Xenopus tropicalis: one gene and its partner. The protein of the gene in region 2 interacts with the protein of the main gene of each other region in a biochemical or structural test. Links are inferred from orthologs where the notes say so. Each region holds a gene or a part of one and is shown on either strand. Other genes may lie near its edges.

Region 1 (3,932 bases), on a different chromosome or scaffold from region 2:
TGGAATTGGCACTGTATTTATCCTGCTGTGGGTTCTGGGGTATTATACATGGAATTGGCACTGTATTTATCCTGCTGTGGGTTCTGGGGTATTATACATGGAATTGGCACTGTATTTATCCTGCTGTGGGTTCTGGGGTATTATACATGGAATTGGCACTGTATTTATCCTGCTGTGGGTTCTGGGGTATTATACATGGAATTGGCATTGTATTTATCCTGCTGTGGGTTCTGGGGTATTATACATGGAATTGGCACTGTATTTATTCTGAGGTGTTCAAGGGACAATGTATGGAATTTGCATTGCATGTACGCTAGGGTATTATGTATGAAATTGCCACTTCATGTATCCTGCAAGGTGCTCAGTATAAGAAACCCTGGAAAATGCCTTTGCATAGAAGACTTTACACAGTGGCAGTGTGCTCCAGACATAATCTGTTCCTCAGTTTTATTGAGCTATAGTTCATTCACCTGTTCTGACTGAGCCAAAAATAAGCCGGGTATAAAGTTGAAAGGTAAAGAAGCGGTCAAATGAGAGCACTGTTAAAGGAGTGCTGATGCAATGAAAATGTACGAAAAATGACACTTTTTTCCTCTCTTTTCAGTAGGAAGGTGACGTTATCTAGATATTCTTGGCCAATTCCATGCAAAGGTAAGTAATATGGTATGTTGTACTGCTTCTGCGGCATACAGAATGTGCATCATACAACTTCAGTACATCAGTATAAAACTAATATGCTTGTTTATAGTGAGCAGTAACTTTAGAGCAAAGGACCTTTGTTTTAAAAAAAAAACCAACAGCTTCTTTATACATACATACATACATCCCAGAACACACGGCAGGATAAATACAGTGCCATTTCTATGTATAAGGGTGAAGACACATGGAGCTACTAGTAGCAGTTACTAGTAGTGGCTACTAAAACAGACAATGCTGATCATTTACTGATAATTGTCCCTATGTGTGTTTTAGCAGAGGCAATTCTCAGTAATGTCTATGGTATTTTCTGGAGTTTAGTAGCCCCGACAAGTAGCTGCTACTAAGTAGCTCCATGTGTCTTACCTTAATGCTGCTAAAAGACATTTTGGAAGCCACATGATCTGTTCTGCATACAGTTATCATGGCTGTTTGTATCCTTTATTCCTATATGATTTGTTCTACTTATAAGCTTCCACCCTTGCATATCTTTATTATTAGAAGCTTCAGAGCTCACTTACCATTCCATAGAGTTTTCCCTCGGACCCCATGCACAGGTACAGAGAGCTGCGATACCCTTTAATGGCAACAATTCCAACTGCAATTGCTCTGATTTCCAATAAACCTGCACATATAAAAACAAAAATGATTCAGATGGAAGATCCTAGATTTAATTCTATCATCTGCAAACGGTTTATATGTTTCCTGATTAAATTGACCTTAGTCTTTGTATGTATGTGATAGGGGCAATATAGTTTAACATTCACTGGGTCAAGAATCTTGGTAAAGCACTATGGAATATGTTAGGTCCGTTATCTGGAAACCCGTTATCTAGAAAGCTCCAAATTATGGGAAGGTCACCTCCCATAGACTTCATTATAACCAAATAATTCTAATTTTTAAAAATGATTTCCTTTTTCACTATAATAATAATACAGTCCCTGTACTAAGATATTATTAATCCTTATTGGAGGCAGAACAATCCTATTGGGTTTATTTCATGTTTAAATGATTCCCTTTTCTCTGTAATAATAAAACAGTACCTGTACTTGATCCCAACTAAGATATAATTACCCCTTATTGGGGGCAGAACAGCCCTATTGGGTTTATTTAATGGTTAAATGATTCCCTTTTCTCTGTAATAATAAAACAGTACCTGTACTTGATCCCAACTAAGATATAATTACCCCTTATTGGGGGCAGAACAGCCCTATTGGGTTTATTTAATGGTTAAATGATTCCCTTTTCTCTGTAATAATAAAACAGTACCTGTACTTGATCCCAACTAAGATATAATTACCCCTTATTGGGGGCAGAACAGCCCTATTGGGTTTATTTAATGGTTAAATGATTCCCTTTTCTCTGTAATAATAAAACAGTACCTGTACTTGATCCCAACTAAGATATAATTACCCCTTATTGGGGGCAGAACAGCCCTATTGGGTTTATTTAATGGTTAAATGATTCCCTTTTCTCTGTAACAATAAAACAGTACCTGTACTTGATCCCAACTAAGATATAATTACCCCTTATTGGGGGCAGAACAGCCCTATTGGGTTTATTTAATGGTTAAATGATTCCCTTTTCTCTGTAATAATAAAACAGTACCTGTACTTGATCCCAACTAAGATATAATTACCCCTTATTGGGGGCAGAACAGCCCTATTGGGTTTATTTCATGGTTAAATGATTTTTTTTTTTTAGCAGATTTAAGGTATGGAGATTACAGATTACAGATTACAGAAAGAAGCCCCAGTTCGCAAGGATTCTAGATAACAGGTCCCATCACTGTGCTATATAAATAATTATTAATAACAATAATAGTTCATTTGATTCAGAAACAATTGATGTGATTTATTCATAGATAGTTTTGCTCTACGTTACACTTACTGTGCATGCTTTGTTGCCTGTCACCATCGACTCTGCCATCCTCGTGTATCCGGAGGTAGTAGCTGTCGTGCCCGAACCTCCTGGCCGTATACAGGTGCCGAATTCTGATCGACTCCCCCCAGCCGTTCTGCATGTGCGGCCCGGCATCAAAAAGCGGCAGACTTTCCGCCCCTCCGAGGAAATACAGCACGGCCACCATCATGGGAACCAAAATCCAAGGCAGGGTCTTCCACATCTTCCCAGGGTTGGAAATGGCAATTTGAGAGCTCACACACACACACAAAGAGTCAGTAACACTAAAGTTGCTTGAGACAGACTGTCAGGCAATGCTTTTTTTTTTTTTTTTTAACCTAATTGCCTCGGGGCTGTAGTAAATACAAGCCAATCCCCAGCCTTTTATAGGACTCTTATCAGCTCCATAGATAAGGTCATACTATTTTCAATAAGTAGACCTTTCATAGTAAGCACAGACCTCCCCTTCCTATCATCATTACATCACCCTCACAGGTTACATACTCGGGTTTTTAGCTGTTTCATTATTCCTATTTGTTACCCCTGTTATTAAGGAAAATGTTTGTATAACTGAGATATTTTATGTGTAATTGTATCTTTGTCTTTTAAATCGGATCCGGATTTGGAAAAATGTTCAAAATTTTTTAAAAAAACGGATATATCTGTGTATACCTTGTACTGGGGGAGGGATAGTTGTCCTTTTATTGCCAAGCAGAGTAAGTGAGACATTTGTTAACAATGGCACATACCCCTGCCTATGGGTCCTCCTTTAATGGGAGGCTATTAGTACGTAGACCCTTCTGTGTCAGAGACTTTTCTTTGTCTCGCTGAAAGGAAAGCCCTTTAGGTCTGATCCACCTTTTTGGATTAGCAGCCTGCGGGTGTGGGACTACAATTCCCATCATGCTGGGGTGGGAGGGGGTGTTGCACTACAATTTTTGGCAGAATTCAAACCTGACCTGCAGTTTAAACTAAGAAATGTTAAAGTCCACAGTTACTTGGAAAATACAGCAGTGAATGAAACGTGTAGCCTTTTACTCCACCGTGGTCTCTGATTGGATGCTACACCAATATACGCCATACACTATTCACAAAAATGAAATTTAACCTTTTAATTGTGAACTGGGTATGCAGACTATAATGCGACAAAATGGCAGCACGTGACAAAATTGTATAGAACTGTAAAGGTGCCCATACTCATGCAGATTTAAGCTGCCAATTTGGCTCCTTCAGCTTATCTGCCTGTGTGTGGGGCCCTCCGACGGGCTTCCCGGGCTGAAAATCGTCCAGTTCGGACAGGCTTGATATGGCTCTTGCTCCGATTGTTATGGCCC
Region 2 (3,832 bases):
GTGGATGAGCTTCCAGATATAGCACAAAAAGTTAGTATGACTGATCAATTCATAAAGCAGGCTGGGAAAGTGCTTTTCCTTTGCTCAAATTTTACTAGCAGTGCCTCACTAATTAAAAGTCTTGAAATAATAGTATCCAGTAGATACTAGTATACTTTCAGAGTTTCGCTTTTCATCAGATTGGCCTCTTCAGATGAGTGGTGAAACGTTTCTGAGAAAACTCTCCAGCAGCTTTAGACTTCATTCTACTAGATACTGTATATCATGACCTGGATGCATGAGAATCTTCAAAAATATCTTGAAATAATGTGTAAATTATGTGGTGATGGAGTGGTTAAGCACATGGGGACTAATTTTTTCCAGTAATTCCATTCTCGGTATGGTATCACAGTAACTAATCATACTAATATTTGGAATCCAGAGGGACATGCTATTGTCCAGGTATGGATTTTGAAAACACAGATTGCAAATATATAACTTATTATTTTATTCTATAATATTGATTGATATACAAATATTTATCCGTTTTTATGACCGCCTTACCACCAGTAGAGCTGTAACCAGAAACCACACAAGTGCAGAATAGAGACAAAATGTTCAAAATAAATTACATTTACTATAATAAATAACCTAAACGTATGTTATGATTTATTGAACATTTCCCATTTTGGAAATAGGGTATATTATACCTTTTTAATAAAGAGTGTGTACGCTCCAGTAAGCCTGGGTGGGTTGGATTCTGGGACAGGTCTAATCTGTTGATGTCTCTAATATAATTACTGTGTTGTGTTAATTTTAGTACAGGCGGACATTGCCCATAATGAGGATCATGGTCTTCCTGTAGATCTCAAACTAGTGATGAGAATATCACAAACATAGGGCAGTGACCACTTTGTTAGATCACCCTCCCCAGTGCTGCTTGATAATATATGCTGATTAGTTTAAATACAGCAGTAGAATGGAATTACATGTAATGTAATTAGGTTACATTTTTCATGGCACTCTCACGATAGAGATGGGCAGTAGGTCAGCAATAGTAGAACTGGATCGCATAACTAAAAGTATTCGCTGCATATCTGGGCACTTCTGAAACATTTACAGTTAATCTTTTAAATAGTGTTATTTCTTGTATATCACTTATAAAAGATTACAGTTATAATTCTGCATTGCTGTGCCTTCATTATAAATATGGCTATGTATATTGAGCCCCCATCAATTCAGAATTTAAACTGTAAGGGAAAACTGATAAACTGCTGCTTAGGTGTAAATAGAGTGGCCTTGAATTAAACATTAAAATATCCTTATTGCCACCCCTGATAGGATGGCCCCCCTGTTGGCATTGGGAAACAAAGGGGCTCTTGTTGCTTAGCAGCATAATGTCTAGGGGTTTCTTGGGAGGTTAAAGGTTGACATGCTGGTCAAATCACAAGTTCACAGGGATATAAGTGGCTTAGGTGAGAAAAATGGCGCCAATGTGAAGTGTGTTGTCTTCACATCAAAACTCAAAAAGAAAACACCAATGAAGTTCAGCTGCTGGTTAAATAAACACCATGGGAGGAAGGGAAACATTTTACATTTTCACACTTTAAATCTGTCTGTAATCATCAAGTTCCTTCCTTAATCATCATCCTTTGTTATATGGGATAATGTGATATGCATGTTTCTGTACTCCGTAGACTAGCCAATTGTCCATTGTTGTCTTTCTTATTAATGCAGAGAATACCTCTTAAAGAGAGATTACAGAATATATATAATTTTAAGGTGATATGTTCATTGGTTTTCATTTTACCTTTTGTTATGGGTTTTTCTCTAGGGGAAACAGAAATATCTGAGTCTGACGTTGAAGAACATCTACTTCTAGACCCTGGGAATGCTCTGCGACTGTTTTGTGACACCAACCAAAGCAGCAGCATCAACTGGTACCGTGAGCAGGAACGTTTGCTGCCGGGAGGGAAGATTCGCATGGTGGGAACTGTGCTAGAAGTCTCAGATGTGACCTATGAAGACTCTGGCCTTTATATATGTGTGGTCAGAGGAACAGGCAAAATCCTTCGAAGGTTCTCTATATCTGTTGTTGGTAAGTGATTTAAAAGAGGGTATTTACCTTGTGGGATTGATGTACAGAAAGCTGCTAAAGCTTTTACATTATATAATGTTAAAAGTCTGCAAGGATACCCCAGTTCAGTGCTGGAGCCTCCAACGTATTTTAAAGTTGTCATTGTAAAGTTTTCAAAAGTTATTACAGCTTCACATAATTACATACTGTTTCTGCTAACACTAGGCTCCAGCAGAGCATCAGATCAGCAGTCTGCTATTCTCATTTATCATTACAATTTTCTCGTAGACTCGTTGGCATCTGGAGATGAAGAAGATGATGAGGATGGCCGTAGGGAGGACTCAGCCGCTGATATTAATGAGGAGCCTGTTTATTTTTTCCAAGGTGAGAGAGCATATATGGCTATAGGTAATTAGAGGTTATAATGACCCTCAAACCACTACTATTAGAGCCATAAAATACTATAGTTTCAGTGCTGGACAGTCTTTATCTGGAGTTCTCCACATACCAAAGACCAGACAGTCTGTGATGTCTTTAAAAGATGTATACATTCAGATGTGCCCTGGAGCTAAGAGAAAGACCAAGAGCAAAATAAATAAATAAAATGAGCTAAGAAACAACCCAAAATCCAAGCTAAAGGTCCCTGTTCCTCATCAATATCGTAATTGTGCAAATGTGGCTTACTACTACAGAAATAGAAGGCACAGTTCTGTATGAAACACAGTTTTTTGGCACTTTTTGGAATGAAGCAAATAATAAACCATTGAAGCTCTTTTACAGCATATTCGTACATTCCAAAGATGGCTGGAATTAATATTATAGATAGAGAGATATATGGCTCCTCAAGAATATTTGAAGGGGGTTTATTAACTAAACAATCTTAGTCAGTTGATCCAATAATAATTTCAAAATGTAACTTTTTGATTACTAATAAATCCTTACTTCTATCATTCAGCACCATACTGGACCCAGCCACACCGCATGGACAAGAAACTTCATGCTGTACCAGCTGGTAACACTGTCAAGTTCCGCTGTCCGGCTGGTGGAAGTCCTCTTCCCACTATTCGATGGCTAAAAAATGGCAGAGAATTTCGAGGGGAGCACAGAATTGGTGGGATCCAGGTAAGCTGTGGCATCTCTGGCTTTATGCACAGCATTGCTTCAATACTTGTTTAATTATAGATGTTTAATTTTGACTTATAAAACATTATGATTTTGGGAGTAATCCTAATATTTTCATCCATCTACTCCAACAGCTTCGGCATCAACACTGGAGTCTGGTAATGGAAAGTGTGGTTCCATCAGACCGTGGCAACTACACCTGTGTGGTGGAGAACAGAATTGGCAGCCTTACATATACCTACTTTTTGGATGTGCTAGGTATGTTAGCTACTAAAATCATTTTGTTGTATAACTGTGAAAAGTTGTTTATCCATTGAAAAGCAAGATTTTAAGTACCCTACAAGGAGCACAAGTGAAGCTGGCTAGTGAAAGAGGATTACACCAAACATAGATTTTGAAATGGTCAAAATATTCTAGATGCTGTGAGATGCTTGCTGAGATAAAGCTTAAAACTTGCTGTTCAGTTCTATGAATGATAAGGCCTTGGAGAGTAGATGTTAATGATAGGCTACATTATCAGTCACTGGAGTTAAACAGCGACTGGCATGTGAGAACAGGGGTTGTTGGCGTCCCAAAAAATGTTAAGGTCTCCTACTTGGACCTTTTTAAGACTTCAAAGTCACAAAGATACTGTAAGGCCATAAACTTAATGAG

The links.
Region 1: the proteins of fgfr4 (region 2) and fgf19 form a complex in vitro, tested with the Homo sapiens proteins (2 studies listed by BioGRID and IntAct). The link is inferred for Xenopus tropicalis from reciprocal best matches to the Homo sapiens genes FGFR4 and FGF19.

What each region holds. Positions count from the first base shown.
Region 1 is NC_030680.2:12,860,690-12,864,621, reverse strand, and holds the start of fgf19 (fibroblast growth factor 19 precursor), read right to left. Parts: upstream 2,822-3,932; coding exon 2,587-2,821; intron 1,322-2,586; coding exon 1,218-1,321; intron 1-1,217. UniProt on the Homo sapiens protein: Involved in the suppression of bile acid biosynthesis through down-regulation of CYP7A1 expression, following positive regulation of the JNK and ERK1/2 cascades. Stimulates glucose uptake in adipocytes. Activity requires the presence of KLB and FGFR4.
Region 2 is NC_030679.2:46,326,268-46,330,099, reverse strand, and holds part of fgfr4 (fibroblast growth factor receptor 4 precursor), read left to right. Parts: intron 1-1,813; coding exon 1,814-2,077; intron 2,078-2,344; coding exon 2,345-2,440; intron 2,441-3,011; coding exon 3,012-3,178; intron 3,179-3,312; coding exon 3,313-3,436; intron 3,437-3,832. UniProt on the Homo sapiens protein: Tyrosine-protein kinase that acts as a cell-surface receptor for fibroblast growth factors and plays a role in the regulation of cell proliferation, differentiation and migration, and in regulation of lipid metabolism, bile acid biosynthesis, glucose uptake, vitamin D metabolism and phosphate homeostasis.